Linked DNA regions of Oryzias latipes. The protein of the gene in region 2 interacts with the protein of the main gene of each other region in a biochemical or structural test. Links are inferred from orthologs where the notes say so. Each region holds a gene or a part of one and is shown on either strand. Other genes may lie near its edges. The genes, in order: grb10, ret and tln1.

What was found.
Region 1: the proteins of ret (region 2) and grb10 form a complex in vitro, tested with the Homo sapiens proteins (2 studies listed by BioGRID). The link is inferred for Oryzias latipes from reciprocal best matches to the Homo sapiens genes RET and GRB10.
Region 3: the proteins of ret (region 2) and tln1 interact in a surface display test, tested with the Homo sapiens proteins (2 studies listed by BioGRID and IntAct, with this or other methods). The link is inferred for Oryzias latipes from reciprocal best matches to the Homo sapiens genes RET and TLN1.

What each region holds. Positions count from the first base shown.
Region 1 is NC_019874.2:13,041,866-13,052,259, reverse strand, and holds the start of grb10 (growth factor receptor-bound protein 10), read right to left. Parts: upstream 5,831-10,394; 5' UTR 5,361-5,830; intron 1-5,360.
Region 2 is NC_019873.2:29,911,449-29,921,526, reverse strand, and holds the start of ret (proto-oncogene tyrosine-protein kinase receptor Ret), read left to right. Parts: upstream 1-3,134; 5' UTR 3,135-3,379; coding exon 3,380-3,455; intron 3,456-9,381; coding exon 9,382-9,618; intron 9,619-9,714; coding exon 9,715-10,002; intron 10,003-10,071; coding exon 10,072-10,078. Other genes in the region: heparan-alpha-glucosaminide N-acetyltransferase, read left to right, coding at 539-720. UniProt on the Homo sapiens protein: Receptor tyrosine-protein kinase involved in numerous cellular mechanisms including cell proliferation, neuronal navigation, cell migration, and cell differentiation in response to glia cell line-derived growth family factors (GDNF, NRTN, ARTN, PSPN and GDF15).
Region 3 is NC_019870.2:24,787,696-24,798,022, reverse strand, and holds the start of tln1 (talin-1), read right to left. Parts: upstream 6,891-10,327; 5' UTR 6,683-6,890; intron 1-6,682. UniProt on the Homo sapiens protein: High molecular weight cytoskeletal protein concentrated at regions of cell-matrix and cell-cell contacts. Involved in connections of major cytoskeletal structures to the plasma membrane.

The DNA.
Region 1 (10,394 bases), on a different chromosome or scaffold from region 2:
TGAGACAACTGGAGCAGTTTGCTCATGAGGAGTGGGCCAAAATACCTGTGGACAGGTGCAGAAGGATCAATGACAAATACAGAAACCATTTAATTGCAGTGATTGCATCAAAAGGTTGTGCAACAAAATATTAAGTTATGGGTACCATCATTTTTGTCCAGCCCTATTTCACTGGTTTGTTTTTTTAAATGATTCTGTTAATCAACAACTCAAAAGTAATGGCTGATTTTGATTATTTAATTTTCAAAACATTTTAATTTATTGTTACATTTGAACGTCTCAAGTCATTTCAGTGAGCATTGTGGACTTTCTTTCTTTAACTGAGGGGTACCAACAATTTTGTCCACCAATGTAGATTGGTCAACAGGCAGCAGCACACACTTGCACATTCATGCATTTCTGAGATGCTTCAAATTTGATCAGTTACATTAATCTGACTAACAAGATAAGAAGTTAGCGTAGTCATAGTAATATGTTACTAAATGCATTCAAACATCTACAGATTAGAAGTGTCTTTAAGGGACATTTCTAGCACATCTTTATAACACTACTTGTTGCACTCCTTTTTTGTTTTCTGAAACTTGTTTGCTCTAAATGCAAAATATTGCAGTCACATCATGCTCTTCATTCAAATTTTAGACTAAAGTTGATCAACAAATGTATAGTATTTGCATACAAAGTTTCCTGTTGTGGACCTAAATGGACTTGCATTAAGAAATTGAATAAAATTCGCTTTCTAGTAGCAAGAGTGAGAGTGTTTGTTGTTTGTTTGTCAAGCAGGAGCTAGTGACATAAACTTTGCTGATGTCTCTATGTAGGGTTAGCTGATAGTGTCATGACACCAGTGAGGGGGTATTAACAGAGTATAAGCCCCGACTAACCGGTGCTGAATGACTGCTAGGTGACGCAAGACCTCATGGAATGCTGCCTAGAGCGTGACTGCAAGCTCTTATACCACCAGTACCAGCTAAGAGGAGACCTCTGCCAGGTTTCCACCTAAAAAACTGTTTCAATGTCATTACACATAGACACATATCAATATAAAGATTTAAATCATCCCAGACACAAAGACAAATTGGGTGAGGATTAAAGACAGGGGAATGTAAAATATGTCCCAATTGTGAGTACTGTCGAGCCTTAACATATTAATATGTACATTTGCGCACAGTAAATGAGTCAAAAGTCTGTCAAAAATAGTACTTTTGCAAAATATCGTGCAATAAACGCAGTCTGACAGATTGTAATCTTGACAGGCTCGTGCCCCATCATGCCTGTGCTTATTTAGCATAGACTTGAAATAGCAAGTTGTCTGGGCAGTGGGGGGTAGGCGGGGAAGCTCAGTTAGTTGCCATGTGCACTGCGGTGTGACCAAAATACAAATAAATAGTGGGAGGAATTTTTTTTTAAAATCACCTTTAAAGGAAAACATCATTAATGTGTTTTCACTTATGCTTAAACTTGTATTTAACTATTAAGAATAAGTCCACAAAATCCACCAAATTTGGCCAAAGTGTGCATGTAAATTCAATGTATGGTGTGGGGGATGGGTGAATGGGGCAACATTGCAAACCAACAAGAGTTGGTTGCAAACTGAAATTATGGCACTAGATGTGACTACACAACGATGTCACGACTAATAATAGAGGCTGATATACTCTGGTCAAACTGTGGTGTGTCTCTGTTGCATTGCAACGATGCAAAAAATATAGAAACTTTTTTAAATGAATTGGAATGTTTACATCCTCTCCGTCACGTCTGCGTCTCAGGTCCAACACTCTGCAACGCAACGCCAGCTTTACGCAGGAGTTCTATCTCCAGTCCGTTCCCCCGGAAACACAATGACACAATACATGCATTTTAAAGGGAGGTAGTGAGGAAGGAGCGGGCATGGGGTCTGATTGCTTAGGTTCTGACGAACGAACAGAGCGGAAGGAACTACTCTGCACAGATTTGGCAGGACAAACCACTCCTCCAGGAGCCAGAGGGAGGGGGGAGGCAATGTAAACCAACTGACGGTCCTATGACAAACTCAATACGCAACCACAGAGTGTCAATTCGGGGTATTGTTTGGTTAATCTAACAGCAGTGCCAAGTATGTTGTGGACAATGATCCACCATGACCAAAGGGACACAACAACACACTAGTAGTCCCAGAAAAACAAGCGTTTGCTCTTCAAAACTTGCATTCACATTAAATAATCACAATTAGGGCTGCAGGACGTGAGGAAAACGTGCGATGTTCAATTTTGGTGATCGACGATATGAACAAATAGCAAAACAAATGAATAAACAACTAAAACAACATTTTCATTTCACAGCAAGATTTGAATATAAGGTCAACTTTAAATGTCTCACATCTATTAATTTATAGGAGGGGGGCATCTAACAAAAAAAGGGCTCCATCCGCTTGGTCAAATGCGTAAAGGGCTCTCCTTGATACTTTAAGCTCCCATGAGAGTGTATTGCATGTGCGTAAATATTTAAGGTAATCATTTACTGCAGTTTGTGCTGTCTGTTGCGTCATGCAAATCGCACGGCCCAATATTGCAACAATGAATTTGTTGTGCAGACCTAATCCCAATCAAATCAAAACTACATTTGAAAAAGTGTGCTGCATGTATTAAAGGCAACAATAAACAAATGTCCCTATAAAGCCACTGCAAGTACATTCATCTGTTTTTAATGCCTACATCTCTGAGAGAGAACTCTGCAAGAAGATGTCAATTGTTTTTTATTGAAATTTCAAACTAACAAGAGCCTATTTGGAATTTTTCTCACAAATTCAAATTAAGGCTGCTTCAAACCCTCTTTCAAATCTCGCAAATTCCAAGTAAGAACATTGATTTACAGTCAACCTGACTGCATCAATACTACCAGGAACCATAAATGTTTATGCAGCATTCTCCAGTCTACTGCTGAGCGTGAAAGACCCACTCCAATTACAAATGGGTTTTTAGCGTTTCTAACATGTTCTTGTGGCATTTTTCTGATGATGGAGGACGTAGATAAAGAAAATTTAGTTAAAAATTGCATTTCTGATTTTTTGCGTTATTCAAATCGTTGTGAATCAGACGAAAAAAAATGCGGTTTCAAAAAGATCTCCCTGCTCCAATATCAGATAGCTCCAATAATGCTCGCTATTTTTGTTGCACCGCTAATGTTTGCTACAACCAGTGTTTTTCAACCTTTTTTGAGCTACGCCAAACTTTAACCTTGACAAAAATCCCGCAGCACGCCAGCATCCAAAAATTACAAAAAAAAAGGAGAAACTCATAGTCTGTATTGATCTACAGCTCCTCTGCAATCTCACATGCATTTTTGTGATAATTGTGGCAGAAAAAGCTGGAAGTTCCAGCTGTGTTTTCTAAAATATGTAATAAAAGTTAAGTTAAAAGATTTAAAAACTGTCTGATGTGTGTTCAATGTGGTTTCAAGACGTTTAAAAAGGAAAGACTCATTGTGCGCTGAGATGCTGTCACTTTAACCCAATGCATCATGGGAGATGTAGTGCAAACAGACGCCAAACGCAGAAAGACTAGCGTCTCTGAGCTTCATTGTTTTGTTCACTCGTTCCACGGTCTGACTCTGGGTTTTGTGGCAAGCTACACCGCTAAAGACGAGCTTTAGCTGGTATTTTTGTTGGAACTGAGAGACTTTATGAGCTAAATCAGAACAAGGAAGTGAAGACTTTAACCACTTCTGATTGGTCAGACTGATGACGTGTGATTAAGACTCCAAGAATGATTGGTGGAGACAGTTAAAGGGGCGGGACTTCTCCGAAAACAGCTGAAGCTGCGGCTAAATCTCGGTACTGTCATTCTTATCAAAATGTCTTTAATAGAATCAAGTATTTTACGATCTTTCATATTCCTAACTCCTCAGTGTTTTATCAGGGCCTGTTTGGATGAACACAGAACTGATATCCTGGAGATGGTAAATGTTTTTAGATCAGTTAATGAGGGCAATTTCCCACGGCACATCTGACCCTCTCCCACGGGCACACTAGTGTACGTGCCGCGGCACACTGGTTGAAAAACACTGATCTAGGCAGTTTGAGAGGCTGCAAGCTAGCAAGAGAGAGAGTGCAAACAGATGGATGATGGGAAGTAGGGTCGGGCTTACGCCGTACCAATAGTACCGCCCACAAGTTCGAGGTGAATTTCTAATGAATTCCTGTCAGTCTGCAGAAACTAAATCCAAGAAAAAAAACACAAGTTTTTTTTAATATATTGGATGTAAACGGCATAATCATAAGTAAATGACCACTGGGAACGCTTTTAACAAAAGATCAATAGATGGTTGGAGTGGAGCTTTAAGCTAATTTTTTTGCAAGACTGTGTCAATAAATTAGGATTATCATGAAAGACGTGGTTTGTAGAGATCTGTTGTCACCGACTTCATCTGCAACTTCTTTTTTTTTAGCTTTGCAGAAATGTCATGCACTTTGATCATGTCTACTGCAGGGCTGAGACGAAGTGAAGTAGATTACAGGCAAAACAGAACTATAAGCAGATCATAGCTTCCTGAAAATGAATAAGGATATAGAAACTTTCATGTTCGGCAAGTAAGGTTTGGGGAGTCCTCCAAAACAGCCTCTGTAACTCCCTTAAGGGACCTAGAAACTGCTTTACAGTTTCTTCTTTATTTGTTTTTACCTTCCCAGTATCGACTGCAGGAATTTTCCTAGACATCCTCTGAGTGGGAGCTTTACCACACTGCAGGTCTACGTGAGTATCTCAGGGAAAACGCCTCCTCCTCCTCCTCCTCCTCCTCATCATCATCATCCTCCTCCTCCAATCTTAGGATAAAGCGATAAGGCCAGACTGGAACTCCCACACAACCGAGCTGGTGTTGAAACCAGAGGAGGAGGAGGGAGGGGGGTTAAAATAGTAGCCGGGTTGAAACAAGTGTGGGATCAAAATACCGTCCCCAGAGGGCGACCGGAGCAGCACAGCTCCCTCAGAAAGGCGTGGAAAAAACGCATGACATGCGCTGCAGTTTACGGTCATGCCTCGAGAATCCAGTTTGGAAGCAAGCAGAAGTCCACGTTGGAAAGAAAACATGGAGGGCAAAAAAAATAAAATAAAATAAAATAAAAAGCTCGATTGCATCGACTCCTTGTTAATAACTTGTTTTCAAAGTTGTCGCTTTTGGAGATGGAGGCAGGTCTGACTGCGCGGTTTTACGCACAGTGCGCACATGTGTTCCGAAACAAGCATGTGTCATCCCAGCGGCGCAGGGAACTTTTACCGCACTGACTAACCATCCTCAACCAAAACACACACACATGCTGAAGGAATGGAGAGAATTCTATCACATGCATGAGGAGCAGTAAAGCAAAAAATCAACACGCGCCTCACCTTTAGTTTAGAAACGGAGCCGTTCGGGGCAGGCAGGCGGACAAAAAACACTGACTGTCCGAAGACGAAGGACACTGGCCGGCGCTGGATCAGGCCACGTCGGTCAACATTCCCAGGCTGGACAGACTGACTGAGGCAAGAGGAGGAAGAAGAGGAGGAGGAGGAGGAAGAAGAGAGGAGGAGGAGGAGGAGGAGGCAAAAACAGTGGCAGCAAAGACTGTAGGGCAGCTCATGTCATGCGGCCAAGGGAGGAGGACACGCACGTACACGCAGACAAACCTGAACGCGCTCAAACAACCCCTCCCCTTTCTGAAAAAGGCCACGCCCACCACTGTCTCATGATGTGAGAAAAAGGGCGGGTCCAAAGGGTTACTCTGGTTCTCCCTCTTCTTTCTCTTTTTTCTTTTTAAAGAGCCAGATAAACAAATTATCGTTGGATTGTGCAAAATCACACTTGTTGGCAGATAGTTTTCACTTTTTAATGCTTTCTATTTTCATTTAACTTATTTTCAGAAAGCCTTAACTTCAATTTTTTTTTTTCACTATCTAAAGTGTATTAAGTTGTGACCTAAGCTGTAATGCTTCTTAATTTACACGTTTTTTGTATATTTCTTATGTTTAATGATAAAAATAATCCACTACATGGCTTCTCTTTGCAGTCTAAGTACCAATTTGTATTTGTTTTCTTTAAGTTTTGCTCATCAAAACTGATTTTTGAAAAAGATGTAATTACCTAATAGTTGGGGAAACATTACATAATATGTAATTCAGATTGTGCTCCTCCCAGACTGCTTGAAACATTTAATTCATTAGTCAAACTTTATCTTTGTTCCTTGACAGGATTGCTGAACCTTTTTAATATCTGTCTTCTTATGATTTGTTTCAAAACCCATAAACCAAAAAAAAGAAAAAGAAAGAAAGAAAAATAGTCCCTACAGCTGATAAAATAATAGGTATACATTTTCTTGAGAGGATAAAAGAGGTTTTTAATGATTTAAAAAATGATGTCAAGGTATGGAAATGTTTTAACTTTAAAATCAGAACAGTTGTAAGGCCAAAACATATTGATCATCATTTAGTTCTGACTTGCTTTGGAGCCAGATGCCTAAATACATTATTTATAACGGCAGGTATTATGACCTTTTCCTTAGCGACTCAAACCTATAAAAATTGTGTTTTTAATGTGTTCTACTCATTTTTTTGAGGACATATTTTTAAACAATTAGGCTTAAAGTTGCATTTCTGAGTATTTTTTTATTCAAATCCTTGTGAATCAGTAGCAGGGGAATAAAAAATGCGGTTGGAAAAAAGATTGTAGTTCCCTGCTGCGCTCTGTTCTGGTGCATCCACTGGCAGACAAATAGATCCATGTACGCCTTTGTTTTCCTCATTTGAGCTGGTATTTGTCTCCAAAATGCTTGACATTTTGATGTTGTGGTTGGATTTGTACTGTTAGGTTGGGGATGTGAGGGGCAGTAAGCTAGTGGGAGCGCGTGTTAACAGATGGATGTCGGGAAATAGGGGCGGGCTTCTTCCATGCCAATAATCCATCCACAACTCAGAGGTGAATTTCAAAACAACTACTTCTGCTCTGCGGAAACTAGGTCCAAAAAACAACAACTTTTTTTTTTTTTTTTGGCTAAAAACAGAACAATCATAATTAAAAGACAACTGGGATCACATTTAAAATAAATCAAAAGATCATCCGAGTGGGTCTTTCACAAAGCTCAGACTGACTTGATCATTTGTTGTATTTCACATACGTGTCACCAACAGTTCCCAAACACAAGGACTTCCAGGAGTCTCCATTGAAGACACATTCGTTTTGTGTTGTGACAGAGTTGCCTTAGGTAGCAAACACAACTTCCCTTATAAGAAGACCCTGTTCTGACAGGCACAATCTGCAGTAAAGCTGAATTCACAGGGAGGTACAAAGTTGCACAACCTGGGGTCAAAACTCATTGCGCCAGAGTTCCATCTCCGAACTGTTATGTTTTCATCCCTCTGAGTGTTTTCCTATTGCATAAGATATTACAGTGTTTATTACTAGACTGAGAGGAACATCAGAGGGGCATGTTATCTAACTCCTTTGTTGAAGCGTATAGAGATTTAAACACAAATAGAATGACTTGTAGTAAACCCAAGAGTACCTTCTGATTAATTTATGTCTTTGGCCACGGGGAGAACAGGGTTGACCCAGAGTTCAGCTCCTGGCTATCCAGCGTGTAATATTTCAGGTTTTTTGATGGGAAAGCACCATGGGACACTGAAGTGCATAAAATCATCAATCCTGAGTCGCTTGTGTGTGCTTGGATTAGGACATGGAGGCTCCTACTGTGTCCACACACTTATAGCCCCTGAGTCACACATATGCAAGTGCACATCATAGCCGAGGTGCCTCTACACAACAAGGCATTCATTTTAAGTCTGGCACCGTGGCATAAAACAAACACATACTGTGTGGATTACCCTTCATCAGACATTCATTATCACACAGTCTTTGTTCAGCTTGATGGATGAGATGCAAAAGAAAGTTCCCAGTGTAGGAAACCTGTCTGTGTACCTTCTGCTGGTAGATGACATCACAGTGTCCATCATTCATGAGTCAGCCCCAAAAAATGTGGTTAGCAAAAGAAATACAATATAATGATTTAATAATAATACTAATGTTTTTTTGTTGTTGTTGTTTTTGTGCAATAGGAGACTTTTCATTTCTTTAAATTGAACAAAAAAATGGTGTAAATACATATCAAAATAAAGGAAAATTTTATCTGGAAAAAAAGCCTTTCGTCACCATAAAATCTGGGTTCATAGGAAATGTTTCATATTTATAATTAAATGCTCACTGACTGTAAACTTCTATATTCAAATTGTGTAAACAGGAAAATAACAAATAGTTATCTTATGTTGAGAAAAGAAACAAACAACGGCCTTAAGGCTCTAAAGATAAGTAAGTAACCCCAGGTTGTTGCCACAGGTTTACAACAGCCTATAGCGTCATTTGGCCTATCACAATCAAGAAATTGTACACACAGTTCTTAGAAGGTGCTGTGTATTATTGATTTTATGACAGGAGTCTGTGAGCAGTTTGATATTTGAACGCATGCCTCATTTGGCCCACGGACCGCACTTTGGACATGCCTGCTCTAACATTTAAATAGGGAGGCAAAACCCGGTGAGTCTGCAAGTTCTTCCACTTAAAAATCAGGAAGGGGGTTTGACATTTTCATACCAGGTGCATGTCCACCGTGAGAGACAAAGTCTAAAAACAAAAAACCTGGAAATCACATTCAAATAGTTCTATTTAGCAGTAGCATACAAATAAAAAAACAAAACATGCAATGCTATTTTCACCTTTTTTATTTCAGATTATGTTTCTCTCACCTTAGACATGCGCATAATATGAAAATGTCAGACCTCTCCATGATTTTCTAAGTGGGAGAACTTGCAAAATCACAGGGTGTTCCAATACTTTTTTCCCTCACCGTTTGCAAATGGGCAGCACTTTATCAGTCAGAATAAGGTTTTGGTAAAGTTACAAACATCTTTACTTTAAGGCTTAAATGGGTTAGGCAAACAAAACTATTATAGTAATAGATGTGAGCTACGAATGCAGTGTCAATCAAATTTGTGGCTCTGGTCATTTCAGAGGTTGTTTATAATGGATGGTCTGGTTGCGCCAACATTGACGATGCAAGGAGTGGCTACAGCACATCACTGGGAGAACCGTAGACGTGCAGTCCAGAAAAGTGCAGGAACAGCATATATTCTGTGCAGGACCCTCAAGACCTCTGGTAGAAAACACAAGCTTTGGGTGAGGAGATTTCCAGCTCTACTTGGCAAATGTAGTCTAAAACACCCTTGAAGAATTTATCTCCAAATGTCTTTGTGCTCACACAGTATTTAATAGCTTATTCACTTCTTAAAAAAAACAACAACAAAGCACTATGTGAAGACTATTCGAATAATAGTTTCAACATGTCAGATTTATTTTTATCTCAGAAGAAGTGGCATGGAACAGAGACTCATATTTCAGGACTCGGGAATGCAGGGCCGGTTCTTTCAGAGTGACTTTGGATGACCACATAGCGATGAGTTAAGGCCACGAGCTACTGCCCGGAATAGTGGCTCCACTGCGGTGTGGCGGAGCGGTCGGGATATAGATTTTTCAAAACAAGGAGAAAGACTGGAGACTTGATGCAGCACTTACTATTGCGCAGGCAATGCAAGAGTTTCAAAATAATCAAATCAGCCTCTTACTTTTATTTCATTTGTATTGTTTTTACAAAATGATTCATTTAATTCTCACTTAGATAAACAAAAAGAAGGATGCCGCTCGAATCACACTTTTGGTGATCACTTGGTTAGTTTAGTTAGTTTTTACACTACTTTTGAAAAACAGCATACAGAAATGTAATTAAAAAGTAGGGAATAAAAAGAAAAGTTTTGACAGATTTTAAGAGTTAATGGGAAAAAAAGAACAACAAATGATTGAAAACCCACTTCATCTAAATGAACCTTAGAGCAATAGCAAACATGTAAACTTGAAAGAAGATGTACTAAAATCATCTTTATTTGAAAGACAATTATGTGTGAACAGAAAAACAAACGCTAACTTTTGTTTACCATGTAATGGCAGCATGGGCTTGAGCTGGTCATTTGTATTTTTAAAAAAAAAAAGCAAAGTGATACGCAAAAATCCTTTAACATCTCCTACCCCACATTATGATTCAGAAAAATCAATCGCTGATCTATAACAGTGCTTTGAAATAACAGATGCTGAGAGAACTAAAGGTTTTTAAGTTCCCGGTGAGCAAAAAGGAACAAAAAATCAGTTCTTCCAAACTACTTCTTAGATTATTTTTAATAACAAATGAGAAAAACGCAAGCTTAATAAAATCCCGCACTTCTTTTTAGTCCATCTCAGCAATTTACAGCACAAGTTGGCATCATGAACAAGATCTTCCAGTTTATCCACTTTTTTCCCCTTTAATTCTCTTTAAGGTGTTAAAGCAAATAATATACATTTAGAAA
Region 2 (10,078 bases):
CAAAGACAGACGAGGGTCTGGATTTGGTCTCCAGAGGATAAATAAACACAAAGAACAGACAGAAATGATGATGATGCTCCGTGTTAAACAGAGATGTGTCCTCGGAGCAGCGTGTCAGGTGGTGTGGTGACCTGGACCGACCACCCCGAACATGAACCACGCAGGTGGAGCTGCAGGCTGTGAGACGGAGGTTTAAGGCGGATGGAGCAGATGTGACACCAACACTGTTTCATCAGGAATCCGCCTCTGATCGTTCGGTGTGGAACACATGGATGCCGCCGCAGCCGCAGGCTAACAACAAAATGACGTCTTTCTGGAGGATTTTTAGCATCATTTGGTCAAAATGTCTTTTTATTCTGCAGAAATGATTCAGATGAAAACAAATGAAGAAAAGTAAAGACTTGTACAGAAAATTGTCCTCTATTATTTTATGAATCGTTCATCAAAAGACATCCAAATGTTGAATCAAAGTAACCACAGATTTTTTGTTTTGCTGTAAAAGTCTGACTCCCTGTACCGTTTCCCTCTCTGCTGTCAGGGATGAACTCCATCTTGGTGTACGTCGGACACTCCCTGCTGGGCTTCTACTTCCCGTTCAGCTGGAATATGCGTTTCCAGGACAGCCACTGGGAATTCCTGTTCCAGGGCGTGTGGGGAACGTCCCTGTGGGTGCTGGCCGCCTACCTGCTCTACAGGAAGGCCTTCTTCCTCAGAATATGACCAGCGTATGGAAACTGACCGCTGTCTGACAAATAAACCACATGGATGGGAAAGGGTCCTCATTAGTCCTGAGAGGTTTGTGCGGGTGCAGAGGTAGAGCGGTCGACCTCTTATCGGAAGACTGCAGGTTCAGTTCCTGCCCTCCCATGTGTTGAAGTGTCCTTGGGCAAGACACTGAACCCCACACTGCTCCCTGTGGTTGTCGGCTGGTGCCAGTGCTCGTCAGTGTGGGTGTGTTGATGGATGAACGTGACGTAGTAAAGCGCTGGAGGCGGATACGCCGTTCACCATTTCTGATCAGGTCTGCTGTCAGGATGTTTGAAAAACGGCCGCGGCGGCCTGGACCCCCTCAGCCTGTTTGTGAAGAAGACATGAGGGGGGACAGCGTGGGATTTATTCCATGCCACTTGTTTTCAGCGCAGAATAGATGATTAAATCAAATATATTAAGGTGCTACTTAACAAATTAGGCCAAGTGATTCAGTGACACACCAGGAAAACCATTACAGGTCCGTTACCATGGTCACTACTCTTTCTCCCCTCAGTGCGTGTGTGTGTGTGTGCGTGTGTGTGTGTGTGTGTGTGTGTGTGTGTGTGTGCCATCTGCTGTCCCGGTGACAGTACTTGAACAGGGTCAAGATGCAGGGCTCTCAGAGGAGTGCTGTTAATGGGAACTGGCACCTCTTCCATTCTCTGTATCAGTAAATCAGGGAAATGAAACCCATTAAATTCATCAGATGCTCCACTTCAGCAAAGCCAAACCGTCCTCCATGGTCTGCATTTAGTTTTGTGAATTTACTCTCAGATTTTGTAACAAGAAGAAAACCGCACCAACGTGGAGGGTTCTGGACTGGATGGGTAATGAAGCAGGTGAGCTGCTGGTCCGGTGGAAGCTGTGATTGACAGATGATTTGGAGCCAGGGTTGGTTTCCCGTGGAGTGGCGGGAGGTCAAAGGTGGTGGAGACGAGTTTGGTGGGATCCCCTGCAGAATGTCTCAGGGTGCAGATCCTTCTGCATCTTCAAACTGGAACCTGGAGTGGGTGGAGATCCCGGCATCGTTTGTTCTTGTGTGCCGACGCCTTTGCAGCGACTTCTTTAACATGAGACCACTGATCAATATTCTGCTTCTATTTCATCCTGAACTTCTGCTGCAGGCCCCGCCTCCCCTTCATCTGGGAGCATGATCATCAGTACTGAAAACGCACGGCGGCTGCTCAGCATGTTCGCTTCGCCGCATTTCCTCGTCTTATTGATCCACACAGAGTCTCAGGATACCTATAGGCTGCCGTATGGAAACTTTATCTGTTGCGCTCCAGCCGCCTGCTCGGCTCCTGATGTCATGTGATCGTGTCCTCAAACTCCCATGATGCTCTGAGGTGCTTCACACTTGTTCAGATTGTAGAATCCACTCCGTATCAACGTTTTTGATTTTGTGATTCCAAACCAAACCTGAAGGAGTTTTATGAGAATCGTTTCATTATCAGCCCACATAAACAGTCTCCAGCAGATTCTGCATCTTTGTTTTCATCTTATTTATGTCTTTACAGAAATGCAAACTAAACATCTGCAAACAGAGGAATCATTGGTTTTAAAATGGCAGAGGAGGAGGAGGTGCTGTTCTCCTGTCAACAGAGGAAGCTCTGTGACCTCCTGTTCGCTCTGAGAGCCTCACGCTTTGGCATCAGGCAGGGGGTGGAAGGACGCCGCCTTGGCCTCGCCTCAGCATCCCTTCAGCCTGTCATACCTCAGCCCCCCAGGCCCAGGGGAAAGGTCTCCCACAATTTGACCACACATGAAAGGCTCTTGATATGTTAGCATAAAAGGCTAAAATAAGAAAAGTGAGTCATGAAATCAGAATTTAAAAAAGCAAATGCCCAAACAGATACCTGAGAGTCCCTGAACCACAGCATGAAGACGGTCGAGGGAGGCGGGTCTGTCCCTAACATCCAGGACAAAACAAGGGAGATGACCCCCCCAGGGAAGAAGGCAGTGCAGCTGTCAGGAATCACTCAGATGTCTCAGTGAGAAACATTTACGCTCAGAACATCATGACGTCATAAAACATCATCTTTGCCTGTGAATTCTTACGTAAGTTTTAGTTTTATTACAAATAGTTCGTATTTTTATTTCTAAAGCTTTTTTAAGCCGCAGAGAAACTTAAAAAAATGTCATTCTAAAATGTTTGCATAAAAGTGAACAGAATGAAAACAAAGATGAAGGTCCACAGAACAGGTATGAGTTGATGAGCTGCTGATGAATGACCCCCCTCCCCCCGCGCGGGCGAACACACACCCCTGTGGAGCTGCCCATATACACACACACACACACACACACACACACACACACACACACACACACACACACACACACACACACACACACACACACACACACACACACACACACACACACACACACACCCAGCCACCGCTGGAGGAGCCTCTCTCTGCAGCGCGTCGGTGGGACGGTGAGGAGTTCATCTGTCTACCCGGAGCGGCGCGCGCAGGACGCACGCGGGGGTCTGTCTTTTGCGGGTGTCTTCTCCCTTTCAGCGCGAACTTTTTGGGCTTTTCCCGGTTGTGTATCTGTTGCGGGTTGGAAGCAGGAACTTGCGTGGATTGTGTCTGCGTTGAAAACTTTCCCCTAATGGTGGTGCGGGATGGAGTCACGCTGTGGTTTCTGTGCGGGAACAGCCGCTGCGCTGCAGCTGCTGCTGCTGCTGCTGCTGCTTGGAGGTAAGGCGCCGGTTCATCCCGGATAACCGGGAAAACACACCCGGTTTGAGCGGAAAACATGTTATAGTAACTGTGGCTGCGTGGTTTTCACTGCGGACTGCGGGTTTTTTTTGTGTTAGACACCGGAACCAGAACTTTCCGGGATGTATATTAGAGCTAAACTGGACGGAACTTTGACAAATTCATGAACATCTGAAGGAAAAAGCAGCTCAGTGCGCAGAAGTTTGCGCATGTTCAGGTGAAAGAGAAAATGACGAAAAGCTTTTCAGCAGCTGCGTGATTCGAGTGCGTGATGTTCCTCCGATGGCCCGCAGAGAGCGGTCAGTCTGTCGGACACCCCATAATATTATAATCCCATTCACAATCCCACAGCCCAACTGTCCCAACACGGTCTAAATTTAAAGAGTGCGTCACTCAGGAGGCTGGACCCCCAGAAGATCTCTGCTTTTGTTACAGATTCACAATCAGAGTTAGAAGTTGGGGCAAAAAGCTCTGAAATGCCCCATCATCATCGAGCTTCTGCTGCTTTATTTCACCTGAAGTGGGGGCTATTAAACTTCTAATCCCCCCTTTATGGGTGTAGAGCGTCTTTATGCTCTTCATAAAATAAATGCTGTGGTTTTATGATCTTTCACGAGGAAAACAAGTTCAGACTGAAGCCCCAAACATGGCTCCTCCTCTGTGGACCGAAGGTCACCGCTCCCCCCGCTGGATTTACCCAGTCAAGGCTGTGCTGGTAATTAAAGGGGTGCTGAAATCTACACCCGTCCGGCCCGGCACCGCAGCCATCACCTCCATCACCTGGCGGCTCCGAGCAACAAAAGAGCCGCGTGCGTGCCGTGCGTCCAGGCAGGCGCTGCAGGCAGGTGTGCAGCAGCTGCTGTCTCTGGGCAAACATGGCTGTTTGTTTGCAGGAGGTGCAGGGCGCACGCCAACCCGATTCCATCCTGCATGGAGCTGCTGGTTCACTGGAACAAAGATCTTCTGGGTGATGGCGTCACCGTCCTCTGAAGGACTTCTGTTCTTCCCGCCTTCAGGAGTTTACAGTTTGCTGTTTTTTATTCAAATCTATAATAGTGGCGTGTTGAAAGGATCATTTAGAAGCTTCTCTTAGTTAAAGTCCGACATGGGGACAGAAACTGCAGATGAAGTGAAGTTTCTGTCCATCACAGATTTTTGCTGTTATTTATTACAACAACACCTTACTTCGTTGGGTTTTGGATTCAACTAAAATATTGTGTTTTTGAGCGTTTTTCTATCCGGGTCTGGTGGAAATAATCTCATCTGTGGACAGATTGATCCGCCGGAGGAGCGCAGATGTTTTCACATTAAAGCATTGATCCGTTTGTCGTCCTCTCTGACCTTGTTACTGTATCTTTGACCCGGCGCTGACCTCTGACCTGAGGAACTGAAACAAAGTGCTAACACTCCTCCTTCAGCCCAGAGCACCTTCCCCTCATCCTCCTCCTCCTCACTTCAGCATCGTCGCTTTCATCAGCACTTTTTGAGGAGAACCAGACCAATAACTCTCCTTTGACACTTGCTGCTATTTGATTTAGCTCCTGATTGGATCAGACATTTTTCTGTGTAATAGATGCCGTTTCAATGTCACATCCAGCACCACTGAAAGTCTAAGTCATTATTACAACCAAACAGTGGAGGATTCAGAGCTGCTGTTGGAGCAGCTGAAGGTTTTAGATAGTAGAAGAGACATTTGATTAGAAGGTTTTGTGTGGTTACTTCCTCTCTGAGCTGCTTACAGTAAAAACATGATCAGAGCCACAGCATTGGGTTCGAAGCTTTGAGTTTTTGCAACATTTTTGGCATTTTTTGGTGCAAAAGGTGAATTTCCCTGTGGAAGCTGTGAGACTCCGCCCTTCTCCTGCACTCCAGGATGAAGATGCAAAGCGTAAACTCCAGGCTTTTGCTTCCGCTGCTGTTTCCATCGCAGACGAGGCTGCCCCCCGTACCTGTCAGAGCTCTGCGTCTCATCCTGCAGTCAGTTCAGGGTCACACTTCCCTCCCATGCACAGGAACAATCTAATTTGCTGCGGTGAAAGCACAAGGAGACATTGATTGAAATTTCTCCCTCAGGGCATTTAGCCCCCTTGTCTCACATGGGTTTTGACAAGTTATTTTCCAGTTTCCAAGCCGTGCTTACCGAGCCCGACCATCACTTACAACAGCAAATGGATCACAGAGCAAAGTCAGCTCATTCTAATGCACAATGTGCTCTTAACAGTAAAAATTAGGGTTGTGTTTCACCTGAGAGCACGGCTCATTTCTGCAGTCACAGCAACATGTTCTCCTTTTCCTTCCTTTGCTCATTTTCCATCTGTCTCTCTGGCTTCATGTTTATTTTTCCAACAAGCCTTTAGATTTAAGTAGCCCTCAAAATGGCTGTAAGATACCTGCTGCTGAACGGCTGCAACATTAGAACCTTCCAGAAGGCTGAGCCCAGCAAATGACAATGATATGGCTGCACCAAGCTGTATGGAGGTGCGTGGAGGTGCATGAAGGAGCGTGGAGGTGATGGAGGAGCGTGGAGGTGAGTGGAGGTGAGTGGAGGTGATGGAAGTGTGTGGAGGTGAGTGGAGGTGCATGAAGGAGCGTGGAGGTGATGGAGGTGTCTGGAGGTGCATGACAGCTGTGTTGATGTCTGAGCCCTCTGGACCTTCAATAACTGCTTCATGAAAGTGAACATTAAAATGACCCCCCCACACACACCACCCCTCATTGCTCACTGGCTGCTCTCGGCAGGAACGTCTGCAGGAACGTCTGCAGGATCACCTGCGTCTGTGAGGCGTCATAAATGGCGTCCAGCTGCCTTGTGCTGCTTGTGAAGCTTCTTCTGCACATTGAAGCTCCAGAACATCCATGTTGGTTTTGGAGCTTGACGATCGCTCATATGGATCTGTGCTTTCTGCAGAATCTGAAGGAAATCTTGTGGCTTAGCATCAGTTTGGACAAAGGTTTGATGCCCCCCCCACCCCCCACCCCCCAGAGGAATTTCCAAACTGCGGATTTTCTTTGGGGAAATGTTCTGTTGCTTTCTTGCTGAGCGATGAACATGGATCGTTGCATCTCAGCTCTCGTGTTCTCTCAGGGCTAATTGGATTACATGACAGGGTAATTGATCATTATGTTATGGTATGCATGGCTGTAAACTGAGTAATCTACCTGCAGCCTGACCGCCTCCTCCAAACCGGATCGTATATCTCATCATGCTGATGAAAAGTGGGATGAGTGTGTCATCATAACAGGAAATGGCCGTCCTGTTATTAGACCTCCATGTTTGGAGATTAAAATCGCTGCAGGCTTGATTTGATCAGATCCAGGTTCTGACTGCTGTGTGACAGGATGAAGCAACGGCGCATAATAACACAGGAAACCCAGACCTCCAAACATTCTGATCAATAACAGCTTTTAAGGTGGAATTGTTGTCAAATGTGCAGCTTTTTAGTTAATTGAATCTGTGGAGAAAATCCTTCTCATAACTGCCAGAGCTTTGGAGGTTTGCTGTGTTTATGTCTCCGTCGTGTCGCTGCGTGCAGTCGTTTGGTTATAGATTAGAAAATGGAGATAAGGTGGAACCGGCGGTGAAATCAGAACCGCTCTGCCCTCCGCGCAGCAGGAAAAGAGGATTCAGCCGTCAGCATTAGCCGTGTCCGTCTCATCAGTGCAAAACAATCAGCATCACTGCTGATTAGCACGGTTATTGATTAGCCTGCTGCCAGAAACACGGCCTCTCCAATGAGGTTATTAGCAGGAACTGAAAGGTCACACGTTGACCTTGAGGGAGGAGAAGCCGGGCTGGGCTGGTCTCTGCTCCATCCACAAGACTCTTCTCAATGCGGCGCATCAAACATGACCACGTCCTGTTCTTTAAGTGTGGGGGCACGGATGACTCTGCTGCATGAGCTCATAGCTGGTAAATCTTTCATCTGAAGTGCGCTTGAGGTAATTGAGTTCCTGTCTTTGTCTGGGACGATGGCGAGGGCGTTCCACCCTATCGGCTCTGACCGGTCCCAGACACTCTGGAAGTCACCTGAGACGTGGTCATGTGATGATCTTTGTTCTGGAACACCTAAAATGCAGCGAGGCGCCGTAAAAACTGCTGGGCGTGGAGAGGTGATGTGGTGGGAGCGCGTCTCCGGCCGGCAGTGCCGGATGCCTCCTGGAAACAGCGACTGAAACAAACAGCGTCTCTGTTTGCACCACGGTTTCATCTTTGCAGATGACGCCATGTTTAGACGCCGAGCTTCCGTTTTATTGGTGGACGGAGGCTGTAAAACACATGTATGATGTTTACACACTGATTGAAGAGAGGCTGCATTATCTGAGCTCTTTCTTCATATGAGCCACATCTTCTGAAAGCCCCGCCCCCACAAACAAACCTGCCCCCCCTCGCGAATCAGCCGCGCGGCTCTGTTGAATTTCTTCCTGTTTGTGCCTCAATGGGGCATCTTTAAAGAGCAGGAAGGAGAAAAATCCTCACAGACTAGAGATGCTGTTTGCTGGGTGGAGGGGGGGGCGTCCATCCAATTAATTAGTTTTGATAGAAAGTGCTCACTTTCTGCTGGCTTCTGTCCAGCTGAGAAATAGAATTCTGAATGATATCAAGAATTCCCGCTGCAGGAGGCTCAGCGACCGACGGTGGCTGGTAGCCAGAACCTTCTTCTCTAATGAGTTAACGCCCTCTGGGTTTCTCTGTGGACCTGCAGTCATCTGCTGATTCATGACTCTGCATTTTTTTATCCAGCTGAAACTCAGCTGGAAGCTTTGAAAACATTCAGATCTTCTTAAAATGACTCCTGTTGTCCATGATGGTCAGGACTGAGGTCTGGATTCTCTGATCCATGAAGACATTTCCGGCTGTTTCAGCGTGAGAATAGCTCCCTCTAGTGGCTCTAAAAGGCTCCCAGACAGGCGTTCAAGTCTGCAATAAACAGGCCGTTAACAGGCTGATGCTTTACAGCCATCCTGTCAGTCATTTATCAAACTAAATTAAAGAAAAATCAATTTCCCAAACAAATAAATTAGATTCTTTTCTTCTCCTAACTAACAATTGAGAGTTTTTATATTATTTGAAGCACTTTGAGCCTTCAAGGACGGTAGAAAAGCGTTATACAAGTATACGCCATGTATTTATTCCATCCCATTATGAAACGCTAAGAAGTAAAAATGTTGAAGTGTTTCATCCAAACGTTCCCTGATTCAGTTCTGGAAAATAAATCCTGGTAGATGGTCTGCAGCGGTGACCCGATTCCTGCAGCTGCTTCGTTTGCAGGAACACTTAATAAAAAGCTCTGCATCTCCACTGAGTACATCTCCATCCTTCAGGAAGGACGCCCACATTTTATCCATCAGCTCGACCTCCTGTCATCCAAGCCAGGCAAAATTAAATCAATGCCTGCAACCAGAGCCGAGCCTCGACTCCACCAACAGACGGAGAAAATCTAGTTTTGCCGTCTGCTAATGACATTAGTGCGTTCCCTGGATGGTCGCCCACGTCGCTGAAGAGGAGCATAACAAGGATATAATTACAGGAGGAACACATCTCAATTTTCCTGTAAAACCCGCAGCGTTCCAGCGCTTTATGGATCGCTGCTGCGCACGCACTCACACCCCTAATGACTCACCTCTCCAGCATCCTGTTTTTCAATTAAACATCTGAAGGTGACTTCAAGGAGACTGGGAAACCGCGCTATTGACCACACCAGGAAATTCATTCAAATGTGCGCATAAAGTGTCATTTGAAGCACCCAACATCTGCAGATGCTGTTTCTGCAGCTCTACACCCAGAGTGTGATCTGTGGTATTCATGATGCAGGTGTACAGACATCACGGACAGACATCACGCCTTTGCTTCCTGCCATGACAAAGCAGACTGCTTTGTGATTTTGCTGCGTTTGCGTCTCTGCAGGAGCGGCGGGGCTGTACTTCCCTCAGAAGGAATACATTGAGACGGTTTACGTGGGCCAGCCAGCGGGAACGCCGGTCCTGCAGGTGCACGCCATGCAGGACAGCGCCGCCGAGCGGCCGCATTTCTCCTTGTGCTGGGCCCGACGTCCATACTATGCCTCCTGGTTCCACATGGACGTCACTACTGGGGTGCTGTACTTGAACAGAACTCTGGAGCCAGCGGACTTCAGCTCACAATGTGAGTCCAGCCTCATTCTCAGACCCCCCCAAAGAACCCTGAACCGCTAAAGGGTCTCTGTCTGAGCTCACCTGCTCTCTGCTCTGACCCCATCAGATCCCACTTCATGGCCAGTGAAGCGCTTGTCCGTCCAAGCTGTGGTCTCCAACAGCTTCATCAAGGGCTCCCAGTGCGCAGCCAAAAGGAAAGCCCTCATCACCCTGGACTTTGTCAACGCCACCATGCCCGTGTGTGCTGAGACGGACCTGAAGGAGCTCTGCTTCCCGCACACCTACAACCCCCACATCGTGGAGAACCGCTTCCCCGGAGCTTTCCGCCAGTTCCGCCGGCTCACGCGGCTCGGCGTGTGCCCAAACCTCACCGTCTCCTACAGCGTGGAATCAGGTAAGATGCGGCGAAACAGATCCCAGAACTCGTTTTAGGAGAGCAGGTGGTCACAGGCAGCTGTTGCAGACTCTCC
Region 3 (10,327 bases), on a different chromosome or scaffold from region 2:
TGGTCTTTATACTCTGTGAACATTAGTCACTCTTTTTATTTGAACTTTTATATGATTTTGTGTTTTTTTTAATATTCTTTCACTTAAAACTTGTGATTTTAATGCACTTTGGCATGCTGGCTGCTTTCAATTTCATCATGCTACCAGAAGCATAATGACAACAAAGCATTCCATTCCATTTTTGGCTAAATCAAAACAACTGTGTTGTTTTCTCAAACAAACGTTCATCAGAAATTCAAATCTGAATTGTGGGCGGGACTGTTGACGTGGAAGTAAGCCACCGCTGATATCCCATCATCCCTTTGTTTACACTCTCTCCTGCTAGCTTACAGCCACTCACCCCCCAAACCTAACATTAGCAGTGCAACAAAAATGGCAAGCAATATCGGAGCTTTCCAGCTGTACAGTTTTGATCCAGATTCCAGCTCAGACGAGGAAATCAAAGACGTTCATGGATCTATTTGTCTACAAGTGGATGCATCAGGATGGAGCGGAGCAGGGAGCTTGCGGACCCCCCAGCTGTATTGTAAAATCTAGGGGTGTAACGATTCATTTTAACAGCAATTTGATTTATATCATACTTTGTGGTTCTGAATGGTTCATTTTGAACAATCCAATTCCCTGACCTCAAATTGATCATCTTTAGCCAAAAATTCAACCAGTGGGACTCAGGCTGTATTCAGACTGGACACCTTTAGTTTGCTTAAAGTGAACCAGAGTTTCTTTCTCTCGATAATCCAGAACAAATTATCAGTCTGAATACACCCAAATGGACCCTGGTTCAGGACCAAGAACCGCTCTCTGACCCATCTTTCGAAGTGGTCCATTTCCAGAGCAGAACAACTGAACCAAAACAGCCACCGTAGCCGACATAAACAGAATAGAAATGAAGCAACAGATGAACCGCGGACAAATGTAAAACAATGATTGTTGTCTTATCAAACAGACAAAAAGGGTCAAACTGTTTGTTTGGTAGAACATTTATTTTAACACGGCTGAAAACGCTTCTTACACACTGTGTCGTTATACAACACACGCTGCTGTGACGTTACCATAATTGCTACATTGTGGTTCTGTTCCTTAACAGAATTCTCTTTAAAAAATATGCACCACAATATACACCACAATGATGAGACACTGCAACTCACTGAATTGTGGTTGGATTAATTCAGGCTCATTAAAACAACTTTGAACTTGACACACATTGCTTCTTACACGGTTTTTCCCGACAATCTATATGTCATGAACACTTAGCAGTGTACCTTCTTACCTGACGTCTCCTCAGCACTGCAGTTGCTAGCATCCTCTGACTTAAAGCACATATTTATAAACTTTTAACAAGTTAACAGTCCCGATAAGAATTGTAAAGTGCAGCATGTCCCTCTTTCTCTTGTTGTTTTGACCCACCCTCGTAATTTCTGGCAAATGACTGACGAGATCTTTAGTCATGTGGTTTTGTTTACTAGCTTTGATCCGTAACAGAATGGGCCACTCGATGGCAGTCTGAATACAGACCAAACACGGGGTTCAGACTTGAACCTTGTGTAAAGCGGACTCGATCCAGAACAAAGGATTTTTCCAGTCTCAGAGATAACAGTTCTGGTGACGTTTTCCAGACTCCTTGTATTTCTTGCAACATAATCTAGTGTAATATGTGTATAAACAAACAAGTAAACAGGAATTATTCGCAAATCCATCTATGGGTGTGTGTTTGTGGACATTCTACCCTGCGACAGACTGGCGACCTGTCCAGGTTGTCCCCTGCCTTCGCCCACAAGTGGCCGGGATAGGCTCCGGCAGCCCCGTGACCCCGAAAGGGAAAAACGGTCAAGAAAATGAATGAATGAATAATGGCTTCTTGTGTGGAATAGAATGCAAGACCCTCATAGAATAACATAACATTTCCCGCCCCAGCTGTGACGGAACTGTCCAGACGTCTGACACAGTCTGAAGGCATCAGTCTGTGCAGCAGCAGGACCATGTGCCATTATGGCCAAATATGGCTGAGCTTAAATGCTGCACTTCATTCTGTGTGCAAGCCTGGAATGAAAAGCAGGTTTCCTTCACTCAAGTGATGACAAACATCTTAGAAATAACACAGGATTTTGAGAACCACGCTTTAAAAAAAGAAAAAAGAAGTATTAGTCGCTTCATAGAAATGTTTCAAGGTAAAATTGTTACACAAGTCTAAGAAAGACTTCGACACGCATTAAAAGACATGTTGATTCAACAGCTATCCTCACGACAAAGTGTTCAAAAGAAGCTTGTTTACGAGCATCACCACTTGTCAAAAAAGAAGCTGCACAGAGTGACAACCAGAACCTTCTGCTGCAGAACAATCTGCCACATCTAAACCAGGTGACCAAGAATCAAAATCAATATTAATATCAAAAGTAGACGCACTTAGATTCCACTCTGATCATCTTTTAATCTATTTTCAAAGCATTCCCACTGCTCTTTTATTTGTGAATATGCTGTTTACAGACAAAATCAAAAAACCTCTGTCATTTTATAGAAAATCGTTCATGCAGAGCGGCTGTGGTTCATTAGAAATTCAGCTCTAGGATGTGGGTGACCTGTAGGACCAACCTCACCTCCAATACTGAGAGCTTTCTGTTTACACTCTCTCCTGCTAGCTAACAGCCCCTCACACCCCCAACCTAACATTAGCAGTGCAACAAAAATGGTGAGCACTATTGGACCTATCCTGCCGTAAAGTTCTGATCCAGATTCCAGCTCAGACGAGGAAAAGAAAGACGTTCATGGATCTATTTGTCTGCAAGTGGACGCATCAGAATGGAGCAGAGCAGGGAGCCTGTGGCCTGCCCAGTGTATTTTTCTACATCACAAATACGCTCTTCTTTTTTTTACAATAGGCTTTTTTTTATTTTGGTTCTGATTCACCACAATTTGGATTAAGAAATATGCAAAAGTTTAATTTTAATTTCCTTCATTGATATGTCCTCAATTGTTAGAAGAATGCCACAAGGTTTGCTTCCATAAAACTAACTTAAATCTTTTAAGATCAGTTTTGAAGAATTGCAGGTATTTTTTGGACAATTACTAAAAATAGAAAAAAGTATTTTGAGGATTTTCAGTTTGTGTCATAAAAGTCTGTCTTTCATATTTCCACAAAACTAAAGAAAAATGACTGCAGAGCCAAAACTTGTTTAAAAACACTCAGTTTTGCATTACTGGGAATGGAAAATAACTTTGATTTGGCAATTTTTGCTTTTTTTAAATTATTTTTTAATGACTATACGCATAAACATTTTAGTCAAACTGAGCAGACAGCAGAAAAAAAGGAACTCTTGAGACAGAACATTTTGATCCAGACTAGAAAAAAGGGTCCCTGCAACTTTTCGCGACTCCAAGCCCATCAGGACTGACTGCACGGCCCCTTTAGCAGTCAAAGGTTTCAGCATCACGTTTTCTTTCAAAAGTGCTTCAATTCAATGCAAATGTGCCCAAAGCGGAGCACGTCAAGCATGCTGCTCTGCACACCTACACCGTTGCCTGTCACCCTTCTATTTCTGTCATGCCACTATGCTATTTAGGAGCACACACAGCTACGGCGCTAAGCTGTCTTGTTTGCAAAGTGGGTTTTGAGCCGACACCAACAGAGGTCTGCGAACACTGACTTCTCTGAACAAGCACCACCCAGGTGTTACTTCATCACGCTTTCTGTGAAAACGGGGAGTGTGGAGCGTTGACTCATGGGAGCTCCTTCATCCTCCCTCTGCCAGCCCCTCTTCCCTCCAACTGGAGGACGGTGAAATTCCAGTAATTCCTAACATATTCTTTCATGTTTCTGCTCTCCATAATCTTGAACAACTGTTTGTGTTTCAACCAAACAGGATTTCAAAGAACTTTTTTTTTTTTTTAATCACTACTGCTACATTGTATATTTTTGGGGGATTTCTCGTAGACTTTTTAATCATCATTCTTTATTTCATAATGAACCTCAAAAGTGCTCCAAAATTGAGACAAGGTGTTTTGATTGACAGGTAAAAGTCACCCCTATGGTCTCAATGGTCATGTTGCAACAGCTGACAGGATCAATGTTCACAAAGGAGGGCCCACTCGCCCAAAAATATTAGTCAAAGCGGCTCAAAACAGACCAATGGTTAAAAGTTCTGCTAAAGTCTCATTAGCTCCACACATATTTGGTTTTCCACATTAAACCCCTCTTCTGGGGAGGAGGGAACCATACAAGACTTGTCTGCGGACATCAACAGCCAGAACTGGAAGTCCTCAACCAAAACCAGAAGTCCCCCCATATTGTTCAGGGGGGGAAAAAATCCCCATTTTAAACTTGAAGCTTGACAGGTTTTTTTTTTAATCTGAACTCTTTTTGGGGGTGGGATTTCGGTTCCAGCCAATGCTGTTAGGCGCCATAAGCAGCCAGGTCCCTATCGAACCATTTGGTGGTTTAACCCCTCAATCCAACCCCTTAATGCTGAGTGTCGGGCAGGGATGCACTGGGTCCCATTTTTAGTCTTCGGAATGACGCCACCACAGATTTGAACTTATGACCTCCCAGTCTTAGGATGAACGTTGCACCACTAGAATCACATAAGGCCCTTTTAACACGCCGTTTCCTTTCTGCCTGTAAGGCGTCTTTTTTTCGCCTTGGTCTGAACTGACCCACTCGGCCTCTGCTCCACTCCAGAGGTGCAACTTGTCTAAGCTGCAAACAGACAATGACCTGTTATAGAAAGTTTTTTTTTTTTATACCAGCAGGTATTGCCCCAATATTTTCTGACTGACTACTTTTCATGGGAAATGTGTTTAATTGCAGGAGAGAATTGAACAGCAAACATCTTTTCACCAAAGTGAGACCAAGAGACCTTCCACACTGCTGGGCCACCTTTCCACAAACAACATCAGATAAAGACAAAAGGTCATGTTTCTCTGGTTAGTGGTCAGTCATTCTCCCCAGGAGGTTATAATTAATACGAGAGCATCTGGTCACACAACACCAGACACCCCTGAACTGTTTTTTAAGACAAAGTTCAATGATTAAGCATACATTTATACTTCCTCTTATCTTCTGAAGCGTTCTTTTTAAAATTATATTTAGATTTAAAGATCTTTGAGGAGGAGGAGTTAAAACCCTGAGAATGATCTTTTCCGGCTCACACCAAAAGGTTCCCAGAAATGATGCGTGCATAGAAAAAAAAGCCATTATAAACCATTGTTTGGTCCCATCATTGATTTATTCTATACGTTAAAGTCCCACTCGATCATCTTTTAATCTAGTGTAAAGTGTTCCCAGTGGTCTTTTAATTATGATTATGCCGTTTTTTAGCCACATTTTTAGGACATAGTTTCTGCAGAGCAGCAGACGTTCATCAGTACTTCCCCAGGTGGGACCCCTGGCACAGAGCAACCCCGATCCCCCTACCCGTCACCCACAACTGAGAGCTCTCTGCTTGCACACTCTCCCACCATTACATCCCCAACCCAACATTACCGGCGCAACAAAAATGACAAGCAAGGTTGTAGCTATGGATCCAGTCGTACAGTTTTAGAACCAGATTACAGAGGAGGAAAACCAAGACGTACATGCATCCATGGATGCATTAGAATGAAGAGCAGGGAGTTCATGCCGATTTCTCGAACAGTAGCCCCCAAAAACATTGACTAAAACAAAGTGATTCTGTGAAAAAATTGATATCCTTGTGAAAATATAATATATAATATTTCTCTCATGTTCTTGTTCATGTCCAGGAATATTTTAGAACATTTTTATATGTGAATCTACATCAGATTTGACTAAATTACTAACTGAAGTGCATACATTCATTTGTTTTGATATACTTCAGGTGCAAACCTGAAGAATTCTTTTTTTCCTATGAACTTTTAAAAACCCTCCAAAAGTTGTTTTTCCTCAAAATGTAAATCACCTGAGGAAATACTGAACGTTTTATTTCAGTCCATCAATGAAGAAAAGATGAGAGTCGAAATCTAAAGTGAAACAAAAGAATGTAATTATTCGTGTTTGTCGCATGTTTTCAATGGTGGTTATTTTGATCTACATCCCCATCTCTCTTTTGTGTTCGCAAGAATTCCTCTTCAGCTCCGTCAAACTGAAATAGACAGTAGTCGCGTCACACTCAGATCTCTCAGCGGTGTTAGTAGTGGGATTCCAGCCGCATCCAAACGGGAATGTCAACGAACGACTACAAAGCAAAGCCGCGCGGCGGCTCGTCCGCGTGCAGGAAGAATGTGCAGCCGGAGGCTACAGGTTGAGAGCGCGGAGGAACACGCCCAGGAGCGGCGCGGTGCGGCCCGCAGGGCCTCCTGATGGGAGCCTGTCCGAAACACGAGCCGCGCGACCCGACGGGCTTTCGTGTAACCTCCAGGGCGCAGCGGCGGACACACTCAGTGGGGCACACTGTGTGCCCCACTGACACGGCGGTTCAGCTGCGTGCGTGCGTGTTAGCGTGTGTGTGTGTGTCTGTGTTGTGAGGGGAGGGGGGGGCAATGTCTATGTGGCGCGTGTAACTTCAAACTCGTTTCCTCTTCGTGTAATCTTAACTGTGCCTCGCGCGCAGCCGTTAGCCGTAAACACGTCACTTCGCTCAGGTTCTTTTGATCGTTCTGGTGACGTCACAGACCCCTGGCCACAAACTCGAAACTTTCGAAGTTGGTAAAATAAAAACTCTGAAGGTCTGACCTGCGCGCGGGAATCCGATTCCGTCGACGGCGGCGCTTCCAGCAGTGGGACCCGCCTCGTCGAACTTTTCTCCACTTTTAATTCCAGAACAAAATCCGTTTTTTAATGACGGAAGAGGCCAAGCGCTGCTTTTCCTTCGCTCCCCTCCCTGTCTGCTAGGAGTTGTGGTGCTGCTCAAACTCCACCCTGACGAGGCGCGAGGGTGGAGTTTGCGCAGCACCCTCTGAGCCCAGCTGCAGCACAGCGATCCGGTCTGTGTGCGTGTAGACCGCGGCGGTACCCGCCCGCAGCTGGACAGCTTCAGGTCATGCCACCGCTGCTGCTTTGGACAGAGCGGGACCGCGCGCGCTCAAATACACGCGGCCTTTAAAACCCCCTCCAGCAGAAATAGGGTGCTTTAACGTGTTCTTGTAGCATTTTTTTCTTGATAGAAAACATATATTAAGAAAACTGACAGTTTTTTTTAATCAAATCATTATGGACAACCACAATGCAGTAGGACTTACAATGACAAGCCACTAGCTCCCTGCGCTGCTCCATTCTGATGCATCCACTGTAGTCAAATAGATCCATGTACAGTACAGACCAAAAGTTTGGACACACTTTCTCATTCAAAGAGTTTTCTTTATTTTCATGACTATGAAAATTGTAGATTCACACTGAAGGCATCAAAACTATGGAACTGGAATTATATACATTCCAAAAAAGTGTGAAACAACTAAAAATATGTCATATTCTAGGTTTTTCGTAGTAGCCACCTTTTGCTGGGATTTTTACTGCTTAGCACACTCTTGGCATTCTCTTGAGCTTCCAGAGGTAGTTAGTCACCTGAAATGTTTTTCACTTCACAGGTGTGCCCTGTCAGGTTTAATAAGTGGGATTTCTTGCCTTATTTATGGGGTTGAGACCATCAGTTGTGTTGTGCAGAAGTCATATAGATAAACACCTGATAGTCCTACTGAATAGACTGTTGTAATTTGTATTATGGCAAGAAAAAAGCAGCTAAGTACAGAAAAAACGAGTGGCCATTATTACTTTAAGAAATGAAGGTCAGTCAGTCTGAAAAATTGGGAAAATTTTGAAAGTCTCCCCAAGTGCATTCACAAAAACCATCAAGCGCTACAAAGAAACTGGCTCACATGCGGACCGCCCCAGGAAAGGCAGACCAAGAGTCACATCTGCTGCTGCGGATAAGTTCATCCGAGTCAGCAGTCTCAGAAATGGCAGGTTAACAGCAGCTCAGATTAGAGAGCAGCTCGATGGCACACAGAGTTCTAGCAGCAGACACATCTCTACAACTGTTACAAGGAGACTGTGTGGATCAGGCCTTCATGGTAGAATATCTGCTAGGAAATCACTGCTAAAGAAAGGCAACAAGCAGAAGAGACTTGTTTGGGCTAAAGAACACAAGGAAAGGACATTAGACCAGTGGAAATCCGTGCTTTGGTCTGATGAGTCCAAATGTGAGTTTTTTGGTTCCAACCACCGTGTCTTTGTGCGACGCAGAAAAGATGAACGGATGGACTCTACATGCCTGGTTCCCACCATGAAGCATGGAGGAAGAGGTGTGATGGTGTGGGGGTGCTTTGCTGGTGACTCTGTTGGGGATTTATTCCAAATTGAAGGCATACTGAACCAGCGTGGCTACCACAGCATGCTATTCCATCTGGTTTGCGTTTAGTTGGACCATTATTTATTTTTCAACAGGAAAATGACCCCAGACACACCTCCAGGCTGTGTAAGGGCTATTTGACCAAGAAGGAGAGTGATGGGGTGCTGCAGATGACCAGGCTCCACAGTCACCAAACCTGGACCCAGTCAAGATGGTTTGGGGTGAGCTGGACCACAGAGTGAAGACAAAAGGGTCACCAATGTTGGAAAACCATTTCAGGTGACTACCTGTTGAAGCTCATCAAGAGAATGCCAACAGTGTGCAAAGCAGTGATCAAAGCAAAAGGTGGCTACTTTAGAGAACCTAGAGTATGACATTTTCAGTTATTTCAGCTGGTACACTGTGGTCATAAAGGGATGGACGTGGTCAGCAACGATACTCAGGTAGGCTGTGGCATTGGACCCATGGTCAACTGGTACTGAGAGGCCCAAAGTGTGCAAAGAAAATATCCCCAACACTATTACACCACCACCAGCCTGAACCATTGATACAAGGCAGGATGGATCTATGGTTTATGTTGTTGATGCCAAATTCTGACCCTAACATTTGAATGTCACAGCAGAAATGGAGACCCATCAGACCAGACAAAGTTTTTATAATCTTCTATTGTCCAGTTTTGGTGAGTCTGTGTGAATTGTAGCCTCAGATTCCTGTTCTTAGCTGACAGGAGTTGCACCCAGTGTGGTCTTCTGCTGCTGTAGTCCATCTGCCTCAAGGTTGGACGTGTTGTGCGTTCAGAGATGCTCTTCTGCAGACCTCGGTTGTAACTAATGGTCATTTGAATTACTGTTGTCTTTGTATCAGCTGGAACCAGTCTGGACATTCTCTTCTGACCATCAACAAGGCATTTCTGTTCACAGAACTGCCGCTCACTGGATATTTTCTCTTTTTTGGACCATTCTCTGTAAACACTAGAGATGGTTGTGGGTGAAAATTCCAGTAGATCAGCAGTTTCTGAAATACTCAGACCGGGCCCGAATGGCACCAACAACCATGCCACATTCAAAGTCACTTCAGTCCTCAAAAATGATGATTATTAGACAGGTGTGAGGTCCACATTCCTACTATTCCATCAGTTTTTTAACCCTTTATGCGACACACCAGCCTGTTTTGCTGACCTATGTAAGGCATTTCCAACTTTTGATTAATATTGCTCAGACTGTAGAGTAGTTACAGGGAAGCAGCCTGCAGTGGAGAGATGTGTACCCTATTAAGACATTCAACTAAAGATTTTTGAATAGATTTAGTGCAATTAAAACGTGTCCATATCCTCCTGACGACCAGCAATGCAAATTTGTCCTCAGACTAGGACATTTCTAAACCAGAATATATCTGCATACTACTGGGGGTTTTCAGGGATACCAAATTTGAAGGGGTGGGGTTCTGGGAATTGTAGTGTAAGAATTGACTGGACAATTAATTTTTCTCTAGTCAGGAAGTTATTCAGAAAAGCAGATTTACATTTGAAAAGGGGACAATTACAATAATGAGCTTTCCTTGGATTGTGCTATCCTTCCATGCCACCAACCACTAATATGGAATCAAACCATTCCTGGACACAGACACACACAATGATGTTCTCAATGTGTCGGTTCATAAAGGTAGATGTTTTTTAATTTGACTAATACAATCATGATAGAGGCTTATTTTGTGATAAAGTTAAACACGTCAATAGGGTGGCTTCCTAGCTGTCTTTCACCAAGCTTTGAAAGCATCAGTTGCTTTGATTTATTTTTAATTTAGTCATTTATTTTACAGGTTAATCTTTCTTAAATCTATTGTAAATGAGTTCCCTGTGGTCTCTTAAGGATGTTTATGCCGTTTTAGTCAAAATAAAAGAAATCTGTTGTTTTCTATAGCATAGTTTCTGCAGAGCGGCGGTAGGAAATTCACATCCGAGTGGCTTAAACTCAATAAAGTTCACTTTTTTTTTTATCCGAGTCACACTGGTAGAAGTTTTGGCCAAAGATGTC